Rattus norvegicus: one gene and its partners. The protein of the gene in region 4 purifies or fractionates together with the protein of the main gene of each other region. This does not show direct contact. Links are inferred from orthologs where the notes say so. Each region holds a gene or a part of one and is shown on either strand. Other genes may lie near its edges.

The links.
Region 1: the proteins of Pex19 (region 4) and Nat14 purify together in Homo sapiens (co-immunoprecipitation; 3 studies listed by BioGRID and IntAct, counting the BioPlex papers as one, with this or other methods). This does not show direct contact. The link is inferred for Rattus norvegicus from reciprocal best matches to the Homo sapiens genes PEX19 and NAT14.
Region 2: the proteins of Pex19 (region 4) and Faf2 purify together in Homo sapiens (affinity purification with mass spectrometry; 4 studies listed by BioGRID and IntAct, counting the BioPlex papers as one, with this or other methods). This does not show direct contact. The link is inferred for Rattus norvegicus from reciprocal best matches to the Homo sapiens genes PEX19 and FAF2.
Region 3: the proteins of Pex19 (region 4) and Pxmp2 purify together in Homo sapiens (affinity purification with mass spectrometry; 3 studies listed by BioGRID and IntAct, counting the BioPlex papers as one, with this or other methods). This does not show direct contact. The link is inferred for Rattus norvegicus from reciprocal best matches to the Homo sapiens genes PEX19 and PXMP2.

The regions. Positions count from the first base shown.
Region 1 is NC_086019.1:77,937,497-77,945,227, forward strand, and holds Nat14 (probable N-acetyltransferase 14), read right to left. Parts: upstream 4,006-7,731; 5' UTR 3,707-4,005; coding exon of another isoform or gene 3,658-3,706; coding exon 3,586-3,657; intron 3,017-3,585; coding exon 2,468-3,016; 3' UTR 1,936-2,467; downstream 1-1,935. Other genes in the region: soluble scavenger receptor cysteine-rich domain-containing protein SSC5D precursor, read right to left, coding at 400-426, 931-955; Zfp628 (zinc finger protein 628), read right to left, coding at 5,065-7,731. UniProt on the Homo sapiens protein: Probable acetyltransferase. May act as a transcription factor that regulates the expression of coproporphyrinogen oxidase by binding to a promoter regulatory element.
Region 2 is NC_086035.1:9,954,020-9,961,237, forward strand, and holds part of Faf2 (FAS-associated factor 2), read right to left. Parts: intron 6,246-7,218; coding exon 6,074-6,245; intron 5,334-6,073; coding exon 5,190-5,333; intron 1,410-5,189; coding exon 1,227-1,409; 3' UTR 1-1,226. UniProt on the Homo sapiens protein: Plays an important role in endoplasmic reticulum-associated degradation (ERAD) that mediates ubiquitin-dependent degradation of misfolded endoplasmic reticulum proteins.
Region 3 is NC_086030.1:52,050,371-52,058,224, reverse strand, and holds the start of Pxmp2 (peroxisomal membrane protein 2), read right to left. Parts: upstream 4,275-7,854; 5' UTR 4,245-4,274; coding exon 4,123-4,244; intron 2,132-4,122; coding exon 2,021-2,131; intron 1-2,020. Other genes in the region: Pole (DNA polymerase epsilon catalytic subunit A), read left to right, coding at 4,606-4,667, 7,685-7,826. UniProt on the Homo sapiens protein: Seems to be involved in pore-forming activity and may contribute to the unspecific permeability of the peroxisomal membrane.
Region 4 is NC_086031.1:87,126,192-87,133,409, reverse strand, and holds part of Pex19 (peroxisomal biogenesis factor 19), read right to left. Parts: intron 6,879-7,218; coding exon 6,769-6,878; intron 6,365-6,768; coding exon 6,199-6,364; intron 5,633-6,198; coding exon 5,547-5,632; intron 4,913-5,546; coding exon 4,751-4,912; intron 1,708-4,750; coding exon 1,531-1,707; intron 828-1,530; coding exon 783-827; intron 641-782; coding exon of another isoform or gene 621-640; coding exon 537-620; 3' UTR 1-536. UniProt on the Homo sapiens protein: Necessary for early peroxisomal biogenesis. Acts both as a cytosolic chaperone and as an import receptor for peroxisomal membrane proteins (PMPs).

The DNA of each region.
Region 1 (7,731 bases), on a different chromosome or scaffold from region 4:
GGCGGTGGGGGGTGTGTGTTACAAGCTACCATCAGGAATCCAGCTACCCTGGAGGCTGGGCCCTGGTCCCAGACTCCTGGGTGCAAATAAGAGGAGTATCTCAGAGATGCTGGGGGCTGTGTGGAAGGACACTGAACCAGGGAATTCGGGCATCCAAAGTCCTTCTGCCAGGGGTCAAATGGCCCTTCTACTCCTCCCCCATCACTGTCCTCATAACTTTGCTTCTCTCCCATAGGTCAGCGTGCAGCTAACTCTAGAGAAGACTCAGTGTCCCTGCTGGATGGGGACCCATGGCCTGCACTGTCAGGGGAGCTGAGTGGAATCTGGGCAGCAGGGACCAGCAGGAGAGAGGGGAGGCTTAGAGCTGGGTGAGGCCAAGTGCAGAATCAGGACACTTACCTATAGCCTGGATCCCCACCAGCATTGCTGCAAAGGAGATTGGAAGGGACAGAGTGAAGGGTAAATCAGAGGGGAGGGGTCCTTTCCCCAGTGCAGGCTTCCAGCTTCAGTTCAGTGGGAAGCATCATTCACATACAGATTCCTCATACCTCTGAGTCAGAAGCCCCATTGCTGGAATGGACTTTGGGTGGAGGCTGGGATAAGTTACAGGTCCCTGGGGTGGGTGGGGCCCCGGATGCCTGACCCTTGAAGACAGGGCTGGGGACCATATTGAATGGTGGGAGTGATAGCTCCACAGAGTGCATGCAGGGGCAACAAAGGGCAGGTCACTTGAGTTGCTAGGCAGGACTAGCAGAAGGCTGGGTCCCTGAGGGATTAGAGGGGCCGACCAGATGTCAGGCTATCACACAGCACCAGGGACCAGAACAGGCTCCCTATAGTATGAGTCCCTGAACTGGAGAAGCTAAAGTGTCAGAGGTGAGGGTCCAGGCCCCTAAGGTGCCCCACCCCCCACGGGAATGGATCACTCACCAAGAAGACACGCCAAGACCCTCATGTTTGCAGAGTCCAGGGCAGGGGATGGGGTGAAAGGGGAAAGAGGGCAGGAGAGGGGAGGCGGAGGCAGCCAGGGAGGATAGGAGGGAGGGAAGCCGCTGCTGAGGCGCCCTGGACAGCTAGGAGCAGGCTGGGCTGAAGGCTTTGCCAGGAGGGAGAGAGGCTGCAGGGATGCAGCAGGGGACAGGAGGGGGAGGGGGCTGGCCACAGCTGAGCCTGGAGGAGGGGGGGCGGTGGGCAGGCAGAAGGGAGGTGTTCAAGTGCAAACACCCACACTGGAGGGAGGCGGCCAGCCAAGCTCCAGAGGGCCACGCGCTTAGAGATGCTTCTGGGGATGGCAGTTCTGGGAAGGGGCAGGCCTGGGTGTCTGGGGGACAGGGCTGAGGGCACACCCTTTTGCCTCCTCTTATTGTCCAGCCAGGCAAGTAAGTGTAAACGGGAGTGGACAGATTTGGGGGAATCCTGCAGTAGCAAGAGGGCCTGCAGCCAGACACTAGGAGGGACTTCCTAGATCTAGAAGAGAAACTGAAAAACCTCTCTCTCCATTTGACACCCACTGTGGCAAATCTGGATGGGAACCTCCCAGTGCCTATTTGAGGAAGGAGTGTCTGAACTTACAACTTACCAGTTCCTAGAACAAAGGTATGGAGGGTAGAGAGACCAAGGGGGTCAAGGCCTCGGTTTGGAGGGGGTGTACACACACACACACACACACACACACACACACACACACACACACACAGCAGGCAGCTGTAAAGGGAAAAACTTTGGTAATGGGGAGCATGACTCAGAAGGCCTGGCAGAGACTGGGCTGCCGCTGTGAGCTCACTGCTTCTCCTTTTCCCAGCACAGTGCACGCGCCTCCCCCCCCCCAACTTCTCTAGCAATTAATGTCAACTTTGGAGAGGAGGAGCCAGACAGAAGGAGGGAGTCTGGAGAGAGCAGCTGGAAAATGCATCAGAGAGGAGACAGGCACACAGAAGTTTCAGGATTTATTAACAAACAGTGTAAAAAACCAGATGGTCTTGGAGACACTATGCTCCCAGTCCCACCCACTCCCAGAAGATCTGTCCCCTTTGGGAGTTCCCTGTCAGACTCTAACTCTGAGAGTCTCAGTCTCTCTCTCTCTCTCTCTCTCTCTCTCTCTCTCCCCCCCCCCCAGATATCCCTTCCAGACCTCAAATACACGCAACAGGGGCTTTGTAGACCCAGAACCACAAGTTTTTTCAGTGCATACAGACTGGGGCTGGGGGTTGGGGGGGGGGAGAAGTGAACAGGGCGACTTCTAGTGGTCCCAGAAGACCAAGAAGGAATTTGTTCTATTTGAGTTTAGAGTCCCCATTGCATCTGGCAGGTCCACTGTGAGCATGTAAGTCCATCAACCTTGGTGCCTCACTATCAGCCCAGCAGACTAGGTGGACACTGCGGGAGGGGATGTAAAGTGCACGGCACACAGTAGGTGTTCTTTAGGTGCTGGTTCTCTGCCCATCTACCCAATGGGCATAGTCTCCAATCACAGGTCTTTGCTGAATTCCCTAACCAGCATATAGCCCATGCAGCCCCAGCCTCCCTCTGCCTGGTAGCCACAGGCCTCCAATAACCCTGACACACCCCAAGCGGCCACAGCCACTGGGACCACGAGCCGGGCCCGAGGCTCCCCCACACTCCCAGACCATGCTCGGGCTCGGGCCTCAGCAAAGGCCAGCAGCCTCCTGCCCACGCCCCTGCGACGGTGCCATCGAGAGACAGAGAGGCGGGTAACTCGGGCTCCGTCCCCCAAGTTGGCACCAGGGGCCAGAGCCAGGACTCCACACACATCGCCGGATCCCCGGACAGCCACCCAGGGACCCCCCAGCCCGCCTGGTGGAGGCAGAGAGCCCCATCGAACTCGCAGACCCAGCTTCACAGCCGCTACAGCCAGAAACACGGGCAGCAGGAGGGCCAGGGCGAAGGAGGCCAGGATGAAGCGCAGTCCACTGCTGGCTGCAGCCAGGAGGAGAAGGGCTGGAGGACGTGTCAGAGCGTGAAGGGCCACACGGTTTTCCGTGTCTTTTACACCAGCCTGTGGGTGGGGGTAAGGGCTCAGTCATTGGAACTCCTGAGGAAGGATTCCCGAGTGAGTAGAGAAGCCTGCTGATAGGGTAGTAGTCTGGCCCATTGGGTGTGAAGGACTGAGTGAATGCAGTCTGCCTGAACGAAAAGAATGAATAGGGCCTGGGGCCAATGAGTCCGGATGGCATTCTAGGGTAAAGCACCAAAGAAGACTGAACAAGATAGGCAAAGCGAAGACATGGGCTCTTCGCTGGAGGGTCTGGGGTGAGTGTGTGAGAGAGAGAGAGATCACCCCTCATTTTGGGGCTGGTAAGTGGAACTGAATGAAGATCAGGAGACCAGAATATTCAGCCTCTACACCCTTACAACTAACTGCTTTTTAAAAAATGGCAGCTGAGATGTAAGTAGGATGAAAGCACTAGAGAAAAGAGACCAATTAAAACTGCTGAGGCTGGTACGGCCCCCTCCCCCTTTTGTAGGTTCCCGGGAGGTCAGGCAGGTGGGCGGGGCTAGTGGAACCCACTTTGAGCGTCCCTAAGTAGCTGCGCATGCTCACTGGTGCCCCTGCCGGCCTCTCACCTTCAGCATCTCCAGCACCAGGGGCTTCTCATCTTCCCTCATTTCCCGCACTGACAGGTGGTTGGGGGCCATGGTAGCCCCCAGGCCGCCCCCCAAGGAGGGAGCTGGCGTTGTACACCTGCTGAAAACAAGTAGGTTGGTGTTAGGTGGGCACCTGAGTCCTAAAAGCCCTGGGAGGAACGGGCTGCAGCATTTCCCAGATCACCAAGGATGCTGGCGCATCGTCAAAGAGGACAGTCATAGTCGCAGGCCAGGTGCCTCCATACCTAATGGGGCTCCTTAAAAATCTTCCCAAATCGTCCCCCACTCCAGGGAAGGCATTCAGCGATCTGTCTTAAACTCAACCTCTCCCCATACTCTAGCAGCCAGTCTCCTGAAGTGGTCCCACCCCGCATGGCAGGAATAGGGCCCAGCAGGCACCTCCACGGGGCTGCTCGAATCCCTTGACAGTAACGGGGGGAACGGAGTCGGGGGCGCCGGGGGGGGGTGGTCATCGCCGGACGTGACGTCTACGCTCCCGACTGGAGGCGGGACCAGCGCCTTAGCAACTGTTGCCAAGCTTTCCCCACTATGGGGCAGGGGTTGGGAGTAATGGAACTGCGAGGACGAGGGAAGAGCTGTGACCTGCTGGAGGCCAGTGGGAAAACCATGGAGAAAGGGGGATGGGAGCGTGGAACAGAGAGAGGGTTCCTTACCCGGCCTGCCTGGGAGGACTAGCACAGCTCCTTTCTTGCTGGTTCTTCGTTGCTAAGCGACCTGAGCATCAGGAAGAGGAGGCGTTGCTTGTGAACCTAATCTCATTGGCGCTTGGGTCTTTGCGGGAAGGGATGGGGGCAGCAATGAGCATCCCCATCCTCAGGGACCTTTTTCTCGACCCGTGTGGTACCTGGGGTATCGTTTGGATAAATAATATCCCTCTACCTACCTTTCAGGTGAGGTAAAGGTCAGGGTGGTTTATAGGAAAGAAGTGGAGAATCCAGAATTTGACCCCTGACCCACCTTACTATAGTAAGTGTAGTTGCACACGAACATATACAAAGGACAGGAAAGGACCAGAGAAATAGCTCAGGAAATAAGAGAGCTTGCCAAACAGAAACCCACACGGCTGACTCCCACTAAGTATTCTCTCTGACCTCCACAAGTGTACCCCACCACCACCACCACCACAGTAAAGTCTTAACAGTTTAAAGAATGGGGGTGTTGGGCCCCACCCCAGAGAAGCATTTTGCCTTCCAACTACAAAGCAAGTACTCTCAGAGCCAAGAAGCAAAAACGAACGAAGACTTTCAGGCCTGAGGCAGAAGCTATATTTATGACTATCCCCTTCCCCATGAAAACAAAACCAAGAGGAGATTCTGGGTCTTTATTAGCAAGTCCAGCCAGCAGCCCCCTTGACTCTGGGGCTGACCCCAGCCCAGCTGAGGAGAACAGTTAATTGCGGGGGAAGAGGGTTTGTGACAGAGCTGCTACTGGGTCTCTTCAAAACGTGTGTACCAACTGGACTGCAGGCAGAGTCTGCACTATCTGGATGGAGGGCAAGTTCTGGGGAGGCATGACCCCTGGTCCAGTCACTGCGGGGACCACTTGTACCATCTGGGATGGGGGAGCTACAGGCACCCCCACAGGGGCAGAGACCGGGCCAGGTGCTGGTGGGGCCAGGAGTTGCAGCGTTGTGGTACCTCCTGCAACGCTGCTACTTTCTAGAAGGTCAGCAGCTGGGGCGCTACGAAAAATAAGGAGTTTCTGTCCTGATGGGTCAGTGGCAGCTGGCTCGGTCAGTCCAGGCGAAAGCGTTTCCACCTCCTGCACACAGAGCCTAGTCTGTTCCCCATCCGCTCCACTCAGCACCAGCACACTCTGCAGCCCCTCATCTGTCTGCAATGTCTCAAACAGGACATCCTGAACCATACCAGCGCTGGCCTCACTGTCTCCCACTTCCCCAGGTCCAGAGCTGGTCAGCAACTCTTCAGCTGCCCCACTCTGAACCACCAGCAGGTTTGGAGCCTCGGTAGCCACAGCTCCTCCACTAGAATTGGAGACTTGTCCTGTCAGGGGCTGGAGCTGGACTGTAGTCACCTCCTGTGCTGGTTGTAGCTGGACTGTGGTCACTTCCTGTGCAGGCTGTAGTTGGACCGTGGCCACTTCCTGTGCTGGCTGAAGCTGAACCCCACTCACTTCCTGTGGTCCTGTCTCCCCACTCCCTACATTCTGTAGAACAATGAGGCTCTGCCCGCCCCCGCTAGTCCCAGCATTGCCTCCTCCTTGCACCCCTAGACCACCTGGGCCGGGAAACCACACTACCCCTGTCCCCTGTCCAGCTTTCCCAACAGCCCGAGGGCCTGGCCTTGCAGCACCATTGCCCATACCTCCAGCACTGGCAGGAGGCAGCAGAATGAGTTTAGGGGGTGGAGGCGGTGGTGGTGGGGTAGGGGGCTGGACACTGCTAGGAATCAGCTGGAGGCCCTGGGCAGTCTGTACCAGGAGAAATGTCTGTGAACTGGGGGCAACTGGGCCTGGGGGTGTAGCCTGAGCTGTGCCCCCAGCTACTTCGAGTGAAAGTATGGCCTGTAGGTTAGGGAGAACATGAACATCTTGAGCGGCCAGTGGAGTTGGAGCTGCAGCCAATGGGGTAGGGGGCTGCGATGCTACAGCAGGGCCAGTGGTCCCCGAAGTTGTAGTGGCTGGGGTGTGCGTCCTCAGATGCCGCTGCAGGTAGGCGGCCATGACAAAGCCTCGGCCACAAATGGGGCAGGCAAAAGGGCGCTCCGCAGAATGAGTTCGCTGGTGCAGCAGCAGGTTGGAGGAGTGTGTGAAGGTCTTGGGGCAGAGCGGGCAACGGAAGGGTCGCTCGCCCGTGTGCACACGTTGGTGCTGCCGCAAGTTGGAGGTCTGTGCGAAGCTCTTGCCACACACGCTACACGAGTGGGGCCGCTCGCCAGTGTGCACGTGCCGGTGGCGCCGCAGGCACGAAGTGTTACGGAAGGCTTTGCCACACTCAGTGCAGGCATAGGGCCGCTCACCAGAATGAAGTCGCAGATGGTACTGGTAGTGGGACGACCACTTGAAGGTGAGGCCACACTGGCCACAGGTGAAGGCTCGCAGGCCCGTGTGCACACGCTGGTGGATAGCCAGCAGGGAGGAGCGCTTGAAGGCTTTGCCGCACTCCCCGCATTGGTAGGGCCGCTCACCTGTGTGGTCCCGCAGGTGGTAGCGCAGCCCGGAAGAACCCTTGAAGGCCTTGCCACACTCTGCACATTTGTAGGGCCGCTCTGCAGAAACTGGGGCAGGTGGAGGAGGAGGTGGAGCAGGAGTGGCTGGGGCTACAGGTTCCTGGGGACAGGTGACTTCTGCAACTTCAGCCTGAGGTGGTGGGCGTCCAGCTGCCGCCTCCTCCACGTGGCACTGCTGGTGAGCCAACAGGCTGGCCAGTTGTGGGAAGGCACCATCACAGCTACCACAGCGAAAGGCCTGTCCACTGGCCGCACCATGGCTGTGCTGGTGACGGGACAGGCCTGCCACTGTCTGGAAGGATTTCCCGCAAGGAAGGCAAGCAAAATTAGAAGGGCCAGTAGTGGCAGGTGGGGGCTGCAGAGCAGAGTCAGCCTGGGGCAGCTCGGCAGGCACATCCTGGGGCTGGGTGGCCACAGTGGGACCTGGGCATGGTTGGTGCTCCAAGAGGAGCTCCTCGCTACTGAAGCCCTGCTCGCAACCATCGCAGCGGTATACCAGCTCCACTGTAGTCTCAGCAGCAGCCAAAAAGAATTCGGGCACCACAGGTGGGGGCTGGGGTGGTGGGGCTGGAGGCTCAGGTGGGCTGCGGGGCTGCAAGTAGGCATCAGAGACCAGAACCTTGGTGCCAGCTCTGCTGGTCTCCCCTGTGGGGGTGGGGTCTGGGGCAGGGGCGGGGGCGGGGCTGGGGGCAGGGCTGTGGGTGCGATGGTGTAGCAGCAGGTTGGAGGAGTGTGTGAAGGTCTTGGGACAAAGTGGACAACGAAAGGGGCGCTCGCCCGTGTGTACCCGCTGATGCTGGCGAAGGTTGGTACTCTGAGTAAAGCTCTTCCCACAAATGCTGCAGCTGTAAGGGCGTTCTCCCGTGTGCACATGCCGGTGGCGCCTTAAGCTGGATGAGTTCTTGAAGGCCTTGGG
Region 2 (7,218 bases), on a different chromosome or scaffold from region 4:
CCACATACCCACTACCAAAAACTCAATCACAGACGAGACATTTCAAGGGGGAAAAGGCTCCTGTTGCTTCACCACGGCAAGAGGAAGGCTGCAAACTGTCTCTGGTGCCATGAAATGTGCTTTCCAACAACACACACAGGCTGGGAGTCCAATTTCTCTTTCAAAGTTTCTGGTTCAAAACTTTGAGACAGGGCCTCCTCACTCTGTAGACCAGGCTGGCCTGGAATTCAGAGATCTGCTGCCTCTGCCTCCCAGCACACCACCATGCCTGCGATGGGTCTATATCCTTAAACATCATTATCATATGTGCACTCAAACAGGACGAGCCTCCGCAGGTGGGACGGAGGGCCCGGGCCCTAGTCCTCTGGAAAGGCACCGAGCTCGGCAAGTTAGGAAAGCCGGGAAGAGCAGTGTGTGCAGTCAGAGGGGAAGCAGGAGCTGCTGTCCTTTGGCTGAGACCCCTTCACCACCACCTGGTACAGATGCCAAGGAGAAGCTGTATGTGTGTGTAAAGGGAACACACACCCCACACACAGCCTTTTGTGGGTCACAATCCCAGACTTCCTCTCATTGCTCCAAATGGGATACCTCTGGGACCGTGAGAGGAACAGTGGCAGAAGGAAGCACAAATGAGCCCAGGGCACCTTTATTACACCGCCGTGGGCCATGGAGCCCAGGGCACTGGCTCTTTATCAAATCTGAGGAAAAAATACACCTAAGTCAGCCTCACTCCTTTGGTCATTATCATTACAAAGCAAACAGAAACAAAGTTATTCATGAACTGTGGGCAGTCAGTCCATCCTTCTCTCCCCTCTTCCTCTGGAAGTAGGAGAAGCAGGTCCTCAGGAGCTGCTGCTGGAGCTGATGGTGGGTTTCTTTTTTTCTTTTCTACAAAAGCAAGAATGACTGAGAAACAGTGGGAATGTCTCCTTCCCCACGTGGGCGGAGGGATGGGTTGGAGGTGAAGTCTTCACTGGAGGATGGAGAGGCGGCTGTGGAAGGCGAGTCTGCTGGGCAGGTGCATTCACTGCCGGCCTTGCACACGCACACAGGCTGTGCCTCTTGCAGGCAGCATGGTTTCCGATCCTTCCGCAGGATGCAGCAGTTTTTTTAAAAAAAATATTGTATTATAATAATAATAATAATATGAATTTATCTCTTGTTCTCTGTTTTTGTTTTTCCATTTCTTTTAGGGATTGGGGTGGGAAGAAGGAGGCAGAAAAGTGTCATTCGTCTGTCAGGTCCTGAACAAAGAGAACTTCTGTGTGGCTTAGTCCCGCCTCCTGCAGGGTGGGGGGGTTGGGCCATTCCTCTGAAGGGACACAGGGAAGTACCCGTCTTGGAAAATTGGCTTCAATCTGAAACTTTTCAGGGCTTTCCTTCAAGGAGAATAAGAAGTCGTGGATGACCTGTAGATGCCACACAGAAAAAGAACGTGGTAAGGAGAGACTCACTGTGAAGTCCCATGTCCTAACCTTCCCCAGGAAGACCCAAGCAGACAGTAGTCCTATTCTAATGGAATTCTACCTTCTTTTAAAGAGTTCACCGGAGTGTGGCAGCCCATGCCTTTAGAAAAACAGTTTAAGAGACTGAGGAACCTCATACCCTCATAGCTCCAGAGTACGTCCCTACAAACACCCCGAGTTAGAGAACCCTACAGTGGGAAACCTGAACGACGTACTAGTGAGCACCATAATTACTTGTGCTCAGTGCTGTCAGTTCACTGTGAGTGCCTTATACCATGTAAAGGAGACAGAAGACTGCACGAGCCCAACACTTTTGGAGGCAGAATAATGTGAGTTCAAGGCCAGCCTAGTCTACATAGTGAGTTCCAGACAGCATGTCTTAGAAAAAAAAGAATTCACACAAGCTAGTCTTTTGACTCCCCCCACCCCAGCCCTGCCACCCAAGAATCTGACCTTAGGTAAAGCTAAACAATTTAAAATTTTTCTTTACTTATTTAAGGGTCTCACAATGTAGCTCAGAGATCCACCGCCTCTTTTGCCTCCCCCTATGCTGAGATCAAAGGCATGCAGCAGCATGGGGCAATTACAACCACCCAAGCAAACAATACTTACTAGAAATAGGCATGGTTTCGGAAAAGCTGGAAGGCAGTGTTCAGAATATTTATCCCCTTTGAGTTCATTTTAAGCTGTCTGCCAACCTGGTATCCCATTATCTCAGAAGACTTTAAATAACCTCAAAATCAGAGCATTTAACTGATATACTACAAAGTTTAATATGCTATCCTTCCATACCATGGAGGTTTCAGGATCCTCCTCCAAGCCAAGTTCCTCAGGCATTCAGCTATAACTCATGCATTCTCCTGTCCTTAAAATGGTTTAAAGTACTCACACCAGTGAACTGAAAGTACTGTGCACATTTAATTATGGTACACACCGATGACAGTTCAGGTGGGACCAGGTTTTCTCTAACTGGGGGTGTATGTAGGGATGTACTCTGAAACAACAAGGTTCTTCAGTCTTTTAAACTTGTTTTTTAATTTTTATTTTTTAAAAAAAGATGTATTTATTTATGTATATGAGTACACTGACACTGTCTTCAGACACCAGAAGAGGGCATCAGATCTCATTACATACAGATGACTGTGAGCCACCATATGGTTGCTGGGATTTGAACTCAGGACCTCTGGAAGAGCAGTAGGTGCTCTTAAATGTTGAGCCATCTCTCCAGCCCCACCACTTTTTTTTTATTAATGGAGGTCCCACACTTCCTGTTTAGCCAATAGGCTATGCAGTGTCAGCAGCTATGTTCCTGTTCAAACTTAGAGTTGAGTTTGGATGGCTGGCTTTCATGTCTTGTGCACATGTCCCCATCCCTCTAGGAACAATGCCTTGCTTTCTGACAAGTCATTTTGTAGCCTAATGTTTTTTCTTTCTCCTGGTCCAGTCTCAGAAACAGCCATTTCCAAGGAGAGCTGTTCAAGATGGCTGTTTATTTTTAAGGTTTGTTTTTTTTTTTTGAGACAGGGTTTCTGTAGCTCTGGCTGTCCTAGAACTCAGAGTCTACCCTGTCGTCAGTCATGTCGTTCCCTCTCTGCTGAGGTGGAAGGAAGCCTGCTACACTCAGTGGTCTGTACTACAGCCATCAGGGCTGGCCATTAACGCAGATGTGTCACTCCTAAGATTATATGTGAGGGCAGGTGGCACCAGGTTTTCAAGAATACTAAATTATTTGGTCATGTTACTATCAATGAATGGTTAATTCCAGGCCAGCATGGGATTTAACTGTGACTCCTTGGATGTCATTCTTCTCTCCAAGCCCCTTTTCCAACTAAACTAAAACTATGTAAGATTTTATTCATAAGGCCACAGAGATGGCTTAGCAGTAAAACAGCCCTTGCTGCTCTCTTAGAGGACCAAAATTCAGCTTTCAGCACTGCTGGGTAATTCACAACTGTCAGCAACACGCATGCGCGCGCGCGCACACACACACACACACACACACACACACACACACACACACACACACACACACAGAGTAAATCTTTACAAGTAAATAAAGTGGACAGGGCTAGAGCAATGGCCCAGTGCTAAGAGCACTGGCTGCTCTTCCTGAGGACCTGGACTGTTCTCAGCACCCACATGGCAGCTCACAACTGTTTGTAAGCCCTGTTCTAGGGGCTCCAACGCCCTCTTCTAGTGCCTGCGGGCACTACAAGCACATAGTATACAGACATACATGCAGGCAAAACCCTCATATACATAAAATAAAAATAAATAGGTCTTTAAAAAAAGAAAGAGAGGCTTGAGAGACAGTTTAGAAGTTGAGAGCACTCGCTGCTCTTGCAGAAAATGTGGGTTCCGTTTTTGGTGCCCAGCTGAATAACCCACATGGCAGATTACAACCTTCTGTGACTCCAGTTCTAGGGGATCCAACAGCTCTGGCCTCCTCAGGCTTGAGGCATACATGCAGAGCACATACATATGTACGGGCAGACAAAACACTCACGAGACACGTGAAATATAATGACGACGTGCTGGGGAGGGAGGATAGGAGATCCTAGGACCTGAGAGCAAGCCCAGGTCCCAGGAGAGATTGTCACAGGAAATAGGGAATGCATCCTGAGAAAGACATCTGAGGTTGACCTCTGATTTCCAAATGCAACACATGCAAACACGTGTACACACACACACACACACACACACACACACACACACACACACACACACTTTAAAACAAATGAGAAGCCTAAGGCACCTTGCTAGGTTTCACACATAGAAACTGTTCCTCTGAGTATGGATAGGAGTAGAAACTTCAGGGAACTCCACAGAGAAACTGAGGAGTGAATCTGTAAGTTAAGATACACATACAAAGTGGGGTATGCTGACACACACCTTTAGTTCCAGCTCAAGAGGCAGGGACAGGTGATCTCTGAGTTCAAGGCCAGCCTGGTTTGCAGAGCAAGTTACAGGACAGCAGGGCTACATAGAGAAACCCATCTCGAACCCCCTCCTGCCCCCTCAAAGATCTACATGCACCTGTAGATAGGAAACAAGGAGAACAACATCTGCTGACTGCGTACTACATAGCAGGAACTCTGGGAGGCAACTCCAGGGCTAGAGAGATGGCTCAGTGATTAGAAAAACTGGCTGCTCTTCCTAAGGTCTTGAGTTCAATTTCCAGCACCCAGCTGGTAGTTCATAAACATCTATGACAGCAGTCTCCTGTAACTCTCATGGACTCTAATGCCCTCCTCTGGTGTGCAGATGTACATGCAGACAAAACATATACACATAAAATACAATAATCTTAAAAAGGAAAAAGAAAAATACATTTAAAAACCCAGGGCTGGAGAGACAGCTTAATGGGAGACCCTGACTTCCATTCTAAGCACTGGAAATCAAAACCCCCAAAGCAGGTGTGAGTGCTGCTCTCACTGCTTCATTCCCATGGCCACGCCTCCTTTCCATTCTGTGCTAGGTCTCTGTGTCTTACCTTTTGTGCTAACTGCACACTTTGTAGTTCAGAACACGGTTAGAAGGGGAGCAGAAGCCCTTCACCAGGGCTCAGCATGCACAGGTCCCTCTGTCAAGCCTGAAGGTTCCATCCCGGGGACCCAGACAAAGGAAGGAGACCAACCAGCCTCCCCTGGTCTGTCCTCTGCCCTCCACCCTCCACATCTACAGTCCCAATCTATAACACCATGTGGCTTAGGTGATCCTTACTGTTAGAGACTGTGAAAAATGGAATCGTCGCTCTACTCTGGAATCATTGGGTAACTTGAAAATGATCTTGACACTGTCAGGGTCATCTGGGGAGGGCTCAGGGGGCAGGCACTCCAGCTTCCTCTCCTTCTCCTCCTGTAAGTTCTAGAGACAGAGCAAAGGTGAGGATGTGGCCGAACAGGGGTGTAAAGGTCACGAATGTTCACTGAAAACTGACGAACAATCACTGAGGGGCCAGGAGCACAGCTCAGCAGGTAATGGGGTGTGGGCCCTGAAGGTACAAGCCTGACACAGACTGAGCTCCATCCCAGAAATCATGGAAAGGGGGGAGGGAGACCGTCACAGAAGCCTCTGGCATGTGTGTACTGTGTTCTCACATCGCATACACAGAACGGATAAATAAACGCTCCCTTATTCCCTGGTCGAGTGAGACAGGGTCTCATCATATAGCCCCGGCTGGCCTAAAACTTGGTATGTAGATCAGGCTGCCCTCAAACTGATAAACTGGCCTCAATCCTGCCTCTGCCTTTTGAGTGGTAAGATTAAAGGCCTGTACCACTACATCCAGCTGGACAAAACTTTAAAAGCAACCCCTCAAAAAACCCCCTCTTGGGGTTGGGGATTTAGTTCAGTGGTAGAGCGCTTGCCTAGGAAGCGCAAGGCCCTGGGTTCGGTCCCCAGCTCCGAAAAAAAAAAGAAAAAAAAGAAAAAAGAAAAAAAAAAAGAAAAAAGAAAAAAAAAACCCTCTTGGTAAGAAACAAGGACCAGGCCTACTGTACCACACGCACTGCTGACAGGGACAGGCACTGGGTCCTGGGGAAAGGGTGTGTCCTGGCCAGAAGCAAGCAGCAAATCGAAAGGCAGGGAACAGAGGTGTGGCTCACCTGCCGCCTTCGCTCCTCCGCCAGCTTCTGCTGCTGCACCTCCTCCTCCTTCCGGCGCTTCCGCTCTCTCTCCTCCCTTTTCTTCCTCTCTTTCTCCTGGTCTGCCCTGAGAGAAGCCAGGTAGGCTTCATCCTGCTGTTGTCTCAGCACCTGGGTTTGGTTCCTTTCTTCCCTGCAGATGGAGGAGAAGCGTTCAACACTAACTTTACAAACTTGTTTTCCTGGCCGGTGGTCCTCCTCCTGCTCACTCATCTCTAGGATAGAACCAAGGGCAGGCCGTGTGCACAGCACAGCAGGCAAGAGCATTTCCTGACCTCCCTTGTCTTGCAGGCCAGTCCCAAGCTTGAGATCCTCCTGCTTCAGTCTTTCAAGTACCGAGATTAGAGAAAAGTCCACCATGCCCAGCTCCTGGCTTCTACCTTATTAAATAATCTATTTCTTAAGGAGACAAGTGTCCTGCTTGTTGCTACTGTGAATTTGACACAAGTGGACACACCTGAGAAGAGAGAACCACAAGTGAGAGACTCCCAGGGCTATGGGGAAGCCTATGCGGCACTTTCTTAGTGATTCATGTGGGAGGACCCAGTCTACTGTGGGCAGTGCCACCCCCTAGGCAGGTGGTCTGGGATGGCATTAGAAAACAGGATGAGCGAGGCATGAGGAACACCCAGTTAGCAGCAAACGGCCTCTCCTTCGTTTAGTTCATGTCCTGACGTCTCTCAGGACTGTCCTGACTAGTTTTTCTGTCAATTGACACAAGGTAGAGTCTTCTGACAGGAGGACCCCAATCAGAAAACGCCTCCATAAGGTCAAGCTGCGAGCAAGTCTGTTAATTAGTAACTGATGTGGGCGGGCCCAGGTAATTGTGGGTGGAGCCACCCTGGCCTGGTATTGGTCTTGGTTCTGTAAGAAAGCAGGCTGAGCAAGCTGGTAGGCAGCACTCCTCCATGGCCTCTTTCATCAGCTCCGCCTTCAGGTTCCTGTCCAGTTTTGAGTTCCTGTTTTGACTGCCCTGGATGATGAGCTGATACAGAACTATAAGCAAAATAAACCCTTTCCTCCCCAGCTTGCTTTGGTCCTGGTGTCTTATCCCACCAACAGAAACCCTGACTAGGACACAGGTTTTATATACCTCGAGATAGTCT
Region 3 (7,854 bases), on a different chromosome or scaffold from region 4:
AGATTCACCTCAGATCCTAAGTCCTCTTTTCTTCCTAAAGTACTTATTGGCCATGCAAATTTATAAAGACATTCTAGGAAAAAAAAAAAAACAAACTTCCTTTCAGCCAGTTTCAGGCAGTCTTTTTGCCCACAAAGACTGAAGTTACTTCTGCCAGTTCTTCCATTTGGTGAGCTGGGACAGCCACAATGATGGCCCTGGCTGAGGTCTATGCCCATCTGACTCCTCTGTGTTCCAGGCAATTATGCTGTCTGTCCTTGTCTGTGCCCTCATGCCTTAACAGGCTCTGAGAAACAAATAGACATAGGTCAGCTCCCAGAGATTTTCAAACTTTTGGTGGAAACTGGCAAGAGAAAACCTGGTACTACCCTCTGCCTTCTCTAAAGTGCGGATTTCTAGTCCACACTTGGCTCACCTGGGAATGAGCCAAGTCCAGCTAAACTGAGTTTCACAAAGCACAGTAATACAGGGAAGGGCAGGAACCGTCAATTCCAACAACCGAAATCTGTTAACAAGGCTTTCAGCTGGACTTTCTTGCATCACTGTGGGCCACTAAAGTCTTTGGGAGGCCAAGACCATGTGAGAGGGGTAAAGGTTACTTGTTAAAGTATGGGGGGGGGGGTGTTGCTTCATAAACATTTTAATAAATGGTGTGGAATTATTATTCTTGGGAGCTTTTTGTGGGTATCAAAAATCTCAGTTGGTAGAGTAAATCCCAAGTATGCAAAACAAATAAACAAATAAAAAACCCTGGGTTTGATTCCCAGCACTGCAAAACAACAAACAAAAACCAAAAAACAGATAAGGCAGCGCACATCTATAATCCTAGCACGCAGGAGGCAAGGGGATCATCAGAGTTCACAGGATATATGAGAGAGTTCAGTCTCTTTTATTTACACACATTGGGGGGGGTCTTTCTGATTATTTATTTACTTACTTATTTACTTATTTATTTTGGCTTAATACAGGTGTAGCTGACCTGAAACTCACCATTTAGACGAGGTTGGCTTCCCAAGTACTAATACTAGCACACCCAACTAAATGATGAAGATAGGTGAGATCAGTGACAACGTATATGAAGCCACAGGTTTAAATCTAACACCACACACCCACACAAAGTTTGCTTCTTTGTTTTGGACACAGGGTTTACCTGTGTAGTTCTGGCTGTCCCAGAACTCCCTCTGTAGACCTGTCTGGTCTCAAACTCAGAGATTGGCCTGCTTCCACCCTCCAAGTGCTGGGATTAAACGTGAGTTCCATCACCATCCAGCTTTCTTTCTTTTTTTTCTTCTCTTTCTTTCTTTTTTTTTAAAAATCACTCCTATTGGAAAGACTTCAAATCATCCAGCCAGTTCATTAGTGGTGGTCAAAGAACTCAAGGAGGATTTTGTTTTAAAGGCAGATCTCTGTACATAGCACAAGCCGGCCAGAAACTTGTGGCAATACTACTGTCTCTGCCTCTGCCTGCAAAGGGCTAAGCTAAAAGTCTCTGTCATCATATCCGGCCTCTGATATTTCTTTTTTGTTGTTTTGTTTGAGACACGGCCTTACTATGTAGAACAGACTAGCCTCAAACTCACAGAGATTCACCTGCCTCTGCCTCCTGAATGCTGGAATTAAAGATATACACCACCATACATACCTGCTCTCTGATGCTGCTTAAAGAATTATTTTTTTTTCCTTTTTCTTTTTTAATTTTAATTTTTGTTTTCTATTTCTTGTGCATGGATATTTACATTACAGGTATATTCGTGCACCAAGTATGTGTCTGGTGCCTTATGAGGTCAGAAGAGGTCATCAGATCTCCTGGAACTGGAGGTTACAGATGTTTGTGAACTGCTACATGGGAGCTGGGAATCAAACCTGGGTTGGCTATAAGAGCAGTTAGCGCTCCTAGCTGAGCCATCTCTCCAGCCCCAGAACTAGGTTTTTAAAACAAAGTATCCCAAAGGCTTAATGCTGACAGGCAGCTCTGCTGTGCTCAGTCTGCAGAGATGAGGCAGCTCTCTGTGGTACTTACCCATAAACTAAATATCTGAGAAGCCCACTGACTTCTAGACTTCGAGAGTCTTTTTTCTGCTTCTTCTCAATCATCTGGGCCAGAAGGTTTCCAAGGGCTGACAAAATGCCACTGTAGAGGAAGAGGCAATCAGAAAATGAGCAACAGACACAAGGGCCTGCCTCTCCTGCATGGCCATAGCAGGGCTGCTGTAAGATCCTGCTGTGTAGATCATGGGATACTGGAGTCCTTGTTGAAGTAACTTGCTTAGATAAAGACGGAGACTCTAAGACCTAAAGCCAAACCACAGATGAGCACAATGAGACTTCCACCTGCTGGACTGCGTGCCTTCCAACATCCCTACAGCTGCTCCACGGAAGGCATGGGTATAAAAGGCAATGGGGGGATCCTCCTGAGGACATTTCTGTAGTTGACCATGGTCTGTGGGCTGTATTCAAGCTGGAAACTCTATGTTATGCTGTAGTTTTTTTAAATAAACATTTGGGGGTTTTTTTGGTTTTTTTTTTTCGGAGCTGGGGACCGAACCCAGGGCCTTGCACTTGCTAGGCAAGCGCTCTACCACTGAGCTAAATCCCCAACCCCTTTAAATAAACATTTGAAATGGGGCAGAATTCACCAGGGATTTTTTTCTTTTCTTCTCTCTTTCTCTCTTTGAAAACAAAAAGAAAGCAACAACAACAAAAAAGCCAACAACAAAACACTTCTATAATAGTAGTATGTAAATTTACACTCCTGAAGTGAAATTCTCAATAAGAAGACAGGACCAGTTGCTTCTTTAAAAGGATGGGTCTTGTCTTAGTTTCTTTTATGTTGGTGTGATTAAAAAAAAAAAAAAAAAAAAAAGCTAGCACACTTTTTCCACTTACAGTCAAGGACACCAACCAGGAATGGGGCCATTCCTAGTGATCTTCCCAGGTCAATTAAGTTAATCAAGATAATCCCCTCATCAAGTTGACAATTAGCATTAACCACCACAGGTCTATAAGCTGTCTTCTTTTTTTTTTTTTTCTTTTCTTTTTTTCCGGAGCTGGGGACCGAACCCAGGGCCTTGTGCTTGCTAGGCAAGCGCTCTACCACTGAGCTAAATCCCCAACCCCAAGCTGTCTTCTAAAAACTATAAAATCCAAAACTTTTAGTGTGGATCATAAGGACCCTTTTGACTTGACCCCTAGTTACTTCTTCCTTCCATTTACATTTTCTCCCCTGAGTCCTTCTCTTCACCCTTCCAACATGCCCTGTATTCTTCTCTCAGAACTTTTGCACTTACTGTGCCCTGTGAACAACTGCTTCTCTTCTCTGTGCTTCTGATCAATGTCAACAACACAGGAGAAATTTCCCTAACTGCTCTAAGTTATACATTTATCTGCCTTTTGCTGGGGTGGGTGTGGGGGTGGGAGCGTGGTCTAGTTCCTTCTCGGCTCCAAGACAGAAAAAGCATATGAGCCTGTTTTGATCACAGCTATGTGCCCAGAACACAGGAAACACTCTGTACACACTTGTGAAAGGTTAAGTTAGTAGAGAACAAACCTAGAAAATTCACTAATAAAAATTAACAGAAACAGGGTGATATCTCGTTAGGAAATCGAAAGATGTAGATCAAAGGGCAGAGTTCACCAGCAACAGTGCATTTGGTGGCTCAGGGTTGGAATGTGTCCCTGACTCGCGGGTCTTCACAACATTCAGACTGCAAAGGTTAGCGCTTGGGACCCAATACACAAACTGGCATTTAGTGGCTAAGCAGAACAGGGCGCACCTTAATGCAGAACTCTGCCTTTGGTACCCACATTCCTCCATAGCAGTGGTTCTCAACCTTCCTATGTTCGTGGTGTAGTGACCCCCAACCATAAGACTGCTTCCATTGCTACTTCTAAACTGTAGCGCTGCTGCTGTTACGAAACTTAACGTAAATACCTTCTATACAGGAGATCTGATCTGAGACCCTTGTGGAAAGGCCGTCCAACCTTCAAGGCTGAGAACTGCTGCTCCACCCCCAGGATTGGAGCTGCTTTGTCGGCCGGCCCCCTCTCTCTCACCCTCCCCTGCACGAGCGTCTCCCCTGTTGACAGCCCTCCTTTCCACTTCTCTTCCCAGTGTGCGCCCACCTGCTGACAGCTTTGGTGACCACCGGATAGAACTTTAGAAACAGCAAGTATTGGGCGAGCGCTCGCTTGGGAAGCGACCCGAGCTCGGATTCCACCCTCAGCCTTGACGCGGCAGGTGCCATCGCGATCCCGGCTCTGAGTCGTCCCGGGCGCCCACCCAACAGCTTGGCGGCCGGGCGCCCGGCCCGGGACCTGGGGCACAGGGCGGGGACGGCCTGACATTTCCTGCTCTGCCTCGGCCCTCAGCGGACCCAGCCGTCCCGCCACCCGCGCAGCCAGCCTGCACACTCTTTTCCCTCAGTCCCTGCGACCCAGCCTCCCCGCTCGGCGGACGATTGGAGAGCCGAGGGGCGCGGCGGGGCGGGCCCCGGACACGTCCGTCTGAGGCCGCGCCTTCTCATTGGCCGGAGCTGTAGTCTCGCGAGAGCACATGAGAGCGCGCCAAATTTTCCCGGGAGCTGGAGGGAGCTCAGGAACCCTGCGATGGTGCTGAGGAACAGTGGACGGAGGCATCCCGAGCCGGGCGCGGACAGCGAAGGCAGCCGGTGAGAGCCGGTGTCCTACTGCGAAGGCGCTGGCGGCAGCCGCGGCCGGAGCAAACCTGGGCGGGCGCCGTGTCCGGGGGAGCGGCGGGCCCGGCGCGCGACGCGGTGGACAGGGCGGGCTCCAGTCTTCCCGTGTGCTTCTGTAGTTTTATTGAGATGCTAACTCACTCCGTGGCTCAGGCTGCTTCTCTAGAAATATTTGTGCCTGTTGTGTGTCTGTTCTCATCAAACGAGGAGGTAACAGGAAAACCAACGAAAGACTCTGTCTTGTCCGTCTCGGCGAAGTAAAACAGTTTATTGAGATTAAAGAAGCATCAGTTACTCGTGGGCACCAAAAGCCGCAAGCCTTTTATGCATCGGCAAGAGATACTAGAGTATGGCAACAAACGAGATGTGAATAGCGTATACTGAGATTGGTGACACTGCCTAGTGGCAGAAACAGTTGGGTGAGCCATAAGACTATGTGTCAGAGTGCGAGCCCTGAGTGGGAAACCTGTTCAGAGCTGAGTAGTGACAGTGTTTTTCGATGATATGTGAAGCCCTGGGTTTGTTGTACAACAGCTGCATAACAGCAGTGGTAATTGACCTGGATCAGTAAGTAGTTCTTCAATGACAGGTTCCTGAGAGTGACGGCCAGGGGGATGTGATCCTGAAGATAAGAACGTTTAGGATCAGGAGGTGTCACACAGGCTGATGGCTCCCACAAGCAAGTTTTTTAGGTAGTAGAGCATCTCTTTTTAGTGTGCATGAGTATTAGTATGTGAAGACTCAGTATCACCTATGTGCCTGGTGCCCGTGGAGGCCTGAAAAAGGCATCAGATCTCCCGGTACTTTTAATTACAGATGATTGTGAGCCACTGTGTAAGTGCTGGGCATCAAACCTGGGTCCACTGCAAGGTCTTAACCACTGAGCCATTTCTTCAAGCCCAAAAGTACAATGTCTTACATAGAAGTTGGGGGTGGGGGGGGCGCACACAGTGTCATAAACAGAGCACATAGCAGCCTTGGGACTGTGACCCATAGTCCCTTAGGATGTTCCGGAAGACTTGATTTCTCAGGACCTGGATCCACAGCTCCCTCAAGGCCCAGGTCTCAGGCTATTACCTGCCCCACCAAGCTCATTCCTGATTTAGAAAAGGAGCTGTGTTCTGTTTCATACATTGGAGCCTCAGTCTAACCCTCCAACAGTGATGATAGTTACTGTGCTGTCTTCATGTCCATAATGCCATGAAAAGCCACGAGGTGGGCAGTACTTGTACTGTTACGTTCATGCTAGACTTCAGTTTAGAGGTGAGAGGTGGATGGGAAGTATTTTATCTACACTCATGACTTGTGTGTGTGTGTGTGTGTGTATATATATATAATGTGTTATATATTAGATTTTATGCATTGTATTACTACATATTATTGTGGCACGGTATATTGGATATATAATACATACTTTCTGTATTACATATGTATATGTAGCTAGAAGTGGAATAAAGAACCTCTCATACTCTACCACTAAGACATATCATCAGCTAAGGACATGCCCTTAGTCATCCAATTTTGCCACGTACTTGAGCAGATGAAAGCTGTTGTTGCAGTAAATAAATAAACAATAGCTTTTGGAAGGCTTTTATTTGTTTTTAAGAATTTGGTTAAGGGGTTGGGGATTTAGCTCAGCGGTAGAACGCTTGTTTAGCGAGCCGAGTGCAGGGCCCTGGGTTCGGTCCCCAGCTCCGAAAAAAAGAAGAAAAAAAAAAAGAATTTGGTTAATAATCACACACATACCCTACTCCTCTGAATTCTTCCCAGATACACCCTTCTCCAACTTTGAGACCTTGTTCTTTTTAAAATAACCCAATTTGTACTGCCTGTGTGCTCTTAGATCTGAGGACAAGTAATAGCGTTTAGCGTATGCTTATTCCCTGTGTGTTTTGTGTGGATTAGCTCACTTAATTGTTGAAAGAGTCCCATGAGGTCAGTGTGTGTCCTTGAAGCTGCAGGTAGAGGTAGAGAGTGAGCTTTAGGTAAGACTGCTTCCGTATTCACTGAATGAGGAAATGGGTGGTCCTCTTCATGGGTGTTGTCATGAAAATGAACTGAGAATGCATGCTCAGAGCGATTTGACACTGTCTGAGGTAATACGTAAGCAGGTGTCTGGTACTTTCATCATTTATTTAGATTTTTACACTATGGCTGAATAAAAAGTAAGGTAGACAGCTTAGAGCAACCCATGTTAGGAGGAGATGATGTCTGGGTAAATAGTTTTCTAGTCTACTTTACCAACTTACTCACTGGAATGATATTTAAAGGCCAGGGAGTTTTGTGCTCCAAAAATAGTAATACCTCAGAAGTCGCACTTCATTCAGCCCTGGTTTTGTAAAAGATCTGGATACAGACTAAAGCTCTTTTTCTCTAGCAAAGTTAAAAACAGTTTCTGATTTTAATTTGAAGTAAATCCAAGCAGGATGTGGCATTGCACACCTGTAGTTGCACCACTATGGAGGCAAAGAAAGACTATCTCAAAAAGAAGCAAGTAGGGCTGGGCGTGGTCGTTCCCCTCCAAACCCACTACTTGGGGAGTAAGTTTTCATTTCTCTGGGCATAAACTCAGCACTGCCATATTGCTCTTTGTGTGGTTTTAGTATCACAGGAAGCAGCAGCACCCTGGTGTGACTGGTGTTTTGTTAGTGTTCTGGTGGTAAAGTCAATGTTGAGGTGGGGGTTGACTTTGTTGTATTTTTCCTAGACATGCTGTTTGTTTGTTTGTTTCGTTGAGCCTTCTACCGGCCTTGATGTTTTTCTAGGAATGTATATGCTATGCCATATCAGAAATACATAGTCACCAAATGTGGTGGCACACTCCTTTGATCCCTTGGGAAACAGGCAGGTGGCTTACTGTGAGTTGGAGGCCAGCCTTGTCTACATTGAGACACTGTCTCAAAAAGACAAAACTAGGCAAAACAGCAATAAAAACATAGATGAAAGTTAGGGGTCTGAGTGGTGACGCCTGGTTCTCTTCTTTTACTCAGGGATGATGGTCCCTCCTCTTCAGTCTCAGCACTCAAGCGTCTGGAACGGAGCCAGTGGACGGATAAGATGGACTTACGGTTTGGTTTTGAAAGGTTGAAAGAGCCTGGAGAAAGGACTGGCTGGCTTATCAACATGCACCCTGTATGTCCCTTAACACTGCCCATCCTTT
Region 4 (7,218 bases):
CAAGGCTTTGCTTTCAACCTGCTGACTAAGTGCAAAATTCCTTTCCCTTCGGAGAATTCCAAAAGAAGGCTAGCAGATACTGTGACAAGCCTCCAGCCCCACCCAGGCTACTTTTCTCCTCATTCCCAGAGGCCCTGCCTAAGAGAAGCGCAGTCTTAGGACTTAGCTCTTGCTCCCAGACACAAGGGAGGGAGTAGAAACAAGGCACAAAGTCCCTGGGAATCAAGGGGAACATGAGTACCACCACATGTAACATTATTTTGGAGAGTGGGAAGAAGTAAAATGCCCCACAAGGGATGCCTTCCTTCACCTAGCAAATAATTGGCCCGTTTCTAACAGCAGACACCATAATGGAGTAGGGCTCATAGAAAAGGCCTACAACAGGTCCTCAGCTGGTATGGCACAGTCTTGAATGGGATGTAGAGAGTGTGGGGCAGCAGCTCCCACAGATGATACTCCTGCCTCAGTTCCCAGTGACTCTGTTGATTCCAGATGTTCCCCATGGCTGGGACTCAGGGAGGAAACCGTGTTGTGTTTCACATGATCAGACACTGTTCGCCATTAGCACCTGGTGGGCCCGATAGATTGAGGGCATCCAGGTCAAAGTTGAGGCCAGGAGGCTGGAGAAGAGACAAAGGGGCTGAGAAAATCACTCATATTTCAGGTCAGAGCTTCTGAAGGTCCGTCCTTAGCAGCCACAATGATCACCTTATATGGATTACCTAAGGATTACTGGCTTCTGCAAACTGGGAACTGGGTTAAAATATACAAGACATACTCACCATCTCCCCAGCCAGCTCTTTCGGAGGGTGGCCCAAGTCCTGTAACTAGAAAATAAAAAGAATATAAGAGTAAAAAAAAAAAAAAATTTGAAAATCACAGAAAACACAAAAGCAACAAAAAGAATTGGATTAGTCATCTGATTTTTTTTTCTGATCATGGTATGCAGTCATTGTAGTGACATTTTTGAGAATTCTGGAATTTCGTTGCTTTAAAAAAACCACAGAAAGGGTTGGGGATTTAGCTCAGTGGTAGAGCGCTTGCCTAGCAAGGCCCTGGGTTCAGTCCTCAGCTCCGAAAAAAAAAAAAAGAAAAGAAAAAAAAAAGAAAAAAAAAAAACAAAAACACAGAAATATTTTAAGAGTGTGCTTTCATTTTAATCCCAGGTATGGAGATATGGGGCTGCTTCAGACTGACAGCAGCAGCTGACCACGATTTGCTGCATGCTCTGGCGGAGGCATGGCTTTGCCAGCTGCAGATAGTTTCTGTGATTGTGTGAGGTTTGGAATTCCAGGAACTTTTTTGAGGCTACATAAACTCAAGGCCCCAAGAGGGGCGAAGAGGGCAGGGCTGTTGGTTGTTTAGGGAGGTTGGCTGTAGTTTGTTAGCAGCCGTGGTCAAAGAGGACACAAGAGAAATTAGATTCAGGGACTTCTTTCCCTCTGTTCTTGTTTCTCTCTTATCTCCTGTTAGTGGTGAATCCGGGAGTGGAGGTTGTTAAGGGTGGGAGGCAGTGTAAGGAGGCCTTACCTGCTGCATAAGATCGAGTACCGCCTCAAAGCGAGCCCTGTGAGTAGCCTCGCTGTCTGTGGGCGTCTCTGCCTCGAACTGCTCGCAGATTTTGCCCATGACACTGTGCTGCTGCTGATACTTCTCAAACTGCTCTGGGGGAATAGACTCCTGGTGACTCTGTAGCCATTCTGGATACTAAAGAAAGAGAGGAGAGGGATGGGAAGGGATGCAGCAAGCAAGTTCATCATGAAAAGCACAAAGTACTGTTGACTCCAGCAGATCATCTGGACACACTGGTATACATGGTAACTGCAGATTAGTAAACTATGCTTGTGAAAAGCAAGATTTAGCCTCTAAGGGTTGTTTAGTTTCATTCTTATTGCTGTGATAAAACATCAAAAATAACTTGGGAGGGGAAAGGGTTTATTTCATTTGACACTTTCAGGTAACAGTCCATCACCAAGGGCAGAAACCTCAGTCACCATAGAGGAATACTGCATACTGGCTTACTTGGTTGGCTTTTAGCCGTCTTATATAGTTTAGGCCTACCTGCCTAGGGTTGATGCCACCCACGGTGGGCTATGCCCTCCCATACCAACCATCAATCAAGGTAATTCCTCACACACATGGCCATAGTCCAATCTAATCTGGGCAATCCCCCAACTGAGGTTCCCTCAGATGACTCTGGGCTGTGTAAAGCTGACAGCTGCAGCTAACTAGGACAAGGGTCACATATGGTCTTAGTTAACACTGTTGGGCTATTGTTGCATTAAGATTTATTTACGTTTATTTTGTATTCATTAGTGTTTTGCCTGCATGTATATATTTGTACCATGTGCATAGCTGGTGTACTTGGAAAGAGAGGTGTCAGACACCCTAGAACTAGAGTTATGGATGGTTATAAGCTACCTCGTTGGGCCTGGGAACGGAATCCAGGCGACCAACAGCAAGTGCTCTTTAACAAACCCCTCTGTTGTTGTCATTAATTGTAATTTTAAAAAACTCTTATCTCATTTGTATGAATATTTGCATGTATTTATATCTGTGTGCCTCGTGTGTGTCTGGTCTCTCAGAAGATGGAAGAGGGCATCGAATCCTCTGGAACTGGAGCCGGCCATGGACCTCTGTGACTGCCATGTGGGTACTTGGAATTGAACCAGGTCCTCTGGAAGAGCAGCCAGTGTTCCATCTCTCCCTAGCCCTGTTGTTTTTAAACTTAAAAATATAAAAACCAGGGGTTGGGGATTTAGCTCAGTAGTAGAGCGCTTGCCTAGCAAGCGCAAGGCCCTGGGTTCGGTCCCCAGCTCCGAAAAAAAAAGAAAAAAAAAATATAAAAACCAGGGCTGGAGACGGCTTGAGTGGTTAAGAGTACACACTACTTTTGCAGAAGACCCGAATTACTTCACGTTTCATTCCCGACAACACCCTTATCAGGTGGTTCAGTGCCAGCTGTAACTCCAACTCAAAGGTGGTTTGATGGCTGTGGCCTCCAGTAGGCACCTGAACTCATGTGTACACACACACACCCCTAATTTAAAAACTGTAATAAAAATAAATCTTTTAAAAACAGTGTAAAAAATACTCTCAACTTGAGAGTCAGACTGAGGCTGTACAAACACTGAGAGTCAGTCAGACTGAGGCTGTACAAACACTGAAAGTCAGTCAGACTGAGCCTGTACAAACACTGAGAGTCAGTCAGACTGAGCCTGTACAAACACTGAGAGTCAGTCAGACTGAGGCTGTACAAACGCTGAGAATCAGTCAGACTGAGCCTGTACAAACGCTGAGAGTCAGTCAGACTGAGCCTGTACAAACACTGAGAGTCAGTCAGACTGAGCCTGTACAAACACTGAGAGTCAGTCAGACTGAGGCTGTACAAACACTGAGAGTCAGACTGTCAGACTGAGCCTGTACAAACACTGAGAGTCAGTCAGACTGAGCCTGTACAAACACTGAGAGTCAGACTGTCAGACTGAGCCTGCACAAACACTGAGAGTCAGACTGTCAGACTGAGCCTGTACAAACACTGAGAGTCAGTCAGACTGAGCCTGTACAAACACTGAGAGTCAGTCAGACTGAGCCTGTACAAACACTGAGAGTCAGTCAGACTGAGCCTGTACAAACACTGAGAGTCAGTCAGACTGAGCCTGTACAAACACTGAGAGTCAGTCAGACTGAGCCTGTACAAACACTGAGAGTCAGACTGTCAGACTGAGGCTGTACAAACACTGAGAGTCAGACTGTCAGACTGAGGCTGTACAAACACTGAGAGTCAGTCAGACTGAGCCTGTACAAACGCTGAGAGTCAGTCAGACTGAGGCTGTACAAACACTGAGAGTCAGTCAGACTGAGCCTGTACAAACACTGAGATTCAGTCAGACTGAGCCTGTACAAACACTGAGAGTCAGACTGTCAGACTGAGCCTGTACAAACACTGAGAGTCAGTCAGACTGAGCCTGTACAAACACTGAGAGTCAGACTGTCAGACTGAGCCTGTACAAACACTGAGAGTCAGTCAGACTGAGCCTGTACAAACACTGAGAGTCAGTCAGACTGAGCCTGTACAAACACTGAGAGTCAGTCAGACTGAGCCTGTACAAACACTGAGAGTCAGTCAGACTGAGCCTGTACAAACACTGAGAGTCAGTCAGACTGAGCCTGTACAAACACTGAGAGTCAGACTGTCAGACTGAGGCTGTACAAACACTGAGAGTCAGACTGTCAGACTGAGCCTGTACAAACACTGAGAGTCAGTCAGACTGAGCCTGTACAAACACTGGTCCGCAGCTCCTGCTCTTGCTCTTCGGCCACAGGTTGCCTGTGATGCTGTAGAGCTTGTATTTCTCTACTTCATTTCTCTGGTCAAACTATAAGCTCTTTCAAGCATGAACCATCATCGCTTAAACACTTTCCAACACCACCACTAAATCATGTGAGTCCTTACTGGCGGAATTAGTAAAGAATATAAGAATGAATAAATCAGTCAAACTCAAAGTCTTGAACTCATTTATAGAAAACTAGAGTTGGAAATTTCCCCTTTTAGCTGAGACATTCCCAGTGTGGATAGATGATCAGATCACCAATGTAGCTTAATTCTCTCAGTAACAACTGCGAGAGTGTTTTTAAAAATTGTACTTGCCCACTCAAATTGCCTTTACTATGCATAGTCTGAGCCAAGTGGCCCAGACTATTGATATATTGAAGTGAGGAGAAAAGACAGAAATGGGAATTCACAGACCTTTTCGGTGATCTCCTTCAGGGATGGATACAATACATCCTTAGACAAGAGGTTCTGCATGAGGCTCTGCATGATGGGGAGAATGTTCCCTTCCCCGTCTCCTTCATCCATGCCCAGCCCTTCCATGGCTTTTGTCAGTTCTTCTTCAGACATGCCTGCGTTCTAGACAAGACAAAAGAGAGGTGAACAGGCACACTGCCTTCCTGAAATGCTTACCACACTTTCAGGTGGAAACAACTATCGAAATTTGCCTGTAACAAAAATCAAAGGGGGCCAGATTTGGGGAGATATGCCAGAGCTTTTAGAAGTAGACTTTTTGGGGTTGGGGATTTGGCTCAGTGGCAGAGCGCTTGCCTAGGAAGCGCAAGGCCCCGGGTTCGGTCCCCAGCTCCGAAAAAAAGAACCAAAAAAAAAAAAGAAGTAGACTTTTTTTTTCTTTCTTTCTTTTCTTTTCTTCGGAGCTGGGGACCGAACCCAGGGCCTTGTGCTTGCTAGGCAAGCGCTCTACCACTGAGCTAAATCCCCAACCCTTAGACTTTTTTTTTTAAGTTTAATCTTATTTATGTTTTTTTTTTTTTTTCCGACTGCATGTACATCTCTGTGAAGGTGTCAGAAGCCTTGGAACTGTAGTTATAGGTAAGTGTGAGCTGGCATGTGTGTGCTGGGAATTGAACCCCAATCTTGTGGAAGAACAGCCTGTGCTCCTAACCACTGAGCCATCGCTCCAGCACCGCCCACCTCAAGAGCATCTATTTTGAGAGAATGCTCAGGAAACATCTTATTCCTTTCCCTTTACCTGAAGGTCAGTGGCATTTTTGGCTAGCCCACTTAATGTCTCCTTTAGGCAAGAAGTAAATTCTTGTTGAGAACTTGCATCGCTGCCTAGGAGAGATGGAAAGAACGAGGATTACCTAGGATTTTAACTGTCAGCTTGTCTACACTGCCTAGTTACCAGTCTGGATATAAAGCATTTCCTAGGAAACTACTACCTCTTCCAAATCTCCACTGTTCTGTACTTACCTCACGGTCATGCCGTAAGTCTATATTGATAACGTGTTGGTTGTTCGCTACAGTAACACTCCTTTACAAGGGTTGGTTTGGGAGAATCATATTTATTTTTGAGGTAGCGTCTCACTCTGCAGTTCTAGCTGTTCTAAAATGCACCATGTCGATCATGGTGGCCTCAAACTCACAAGATTCACCTCCCTCTGCTTCTCAAGTGCTGGGATTGAATGAATACGCCACTACGCCTGACTGGAATAACCTTTTTTTATTGCTTCCCAAAACATCTTACCCTTTTCTTTTAGTAAGCAAGCTTCCCATGTCTCTTCCTCTTGCCTTGCCCCACTCTGTGACTGTGACATCGTGACTGTTATCAACTTTACAATCCTGCTATTCTTAAGCGATTAAGAGGTCTGTCCAGCATTTTGTGTTTGGGGCTTCCTCACCCACTCTCCCAGCTGCCTCTGAGAGCTTCTGGAACTGCTCCACCAGATGGGGCTCTTCCTCAGCCAGCTCCTTCATTGCCTTCTCAAACTCTGCGGTGGCTTGGGAAGCCAGCTCACTGTCGAACAGTTCCTGGAAAAATTTCTCTTGGGAGGCAAAGAGAGCATCCTGCAGGGGAGAGGTTTACAAAATTTGCCTCCTACAGCATCACCCTGGGTCTAGCCTCTTACAGGAGCTCAGATTGTAGGTTTTGGGAAATGAAACATCTTCCCCCACAAGCACCTCCACTGAACATTCCATCTGCCTCTTTTCAGGAGGACAGCAAGCAAAGACTTTGGCCATTGAAGGAATAATCTGAGGCAGCACACAAATCCAACCACTTAAAACTGCTCTTTACTCGAGGCACTTCCTCGTTATCCCTGTTTCATAGGAACTGAGGCCTGGAAGTACACTCAGCAGTATGAGGCAAAGGTACCCTCCCAGCCACCCCTCTGGCCCACAGGGGCCTGCCCCACCCCTGCTCTGAACTGCATACCCATCCTCCCCCTCCCTTAAGGGGATAGAATTTATACTTTGGCAGTGTCTCCTGGCGATCTCTTCTGGGGCCCTGAAGCATCGGGGGCCGAGATGGTAGGAGAGGGTGCTGGGGAGGGTTTGGCTTTATCAAAATCATCAAGAGCACCTTCGGAGACAAGAGACATGGTGGGTATGTTGGGGATGGATAAGGCTAGAGAGCTGTGTGATTTGAAGCAAACTACTAGGAAAATGATATAAAGTGACCACTCTCCTGAACTTCTCTCTCTCTCTTCCTGCTCTCCTGTCTGGACCACTCGTCAATAGGCTTCCCCCCTTCCTTGGGAAACATCTAGTTTACTGTGACCAATTGGGAAGAAAACCCTTTTACACAGAACCAGTGTTCACCTCAGAACTAGGAGGAAAGAATTAAATAAAAGCTGGGCAGAGAAATCTTTAAAAGGGCAAATTGTAAAATTCCCTTAAGGGTTGGGGATTTAGCTCAGTGG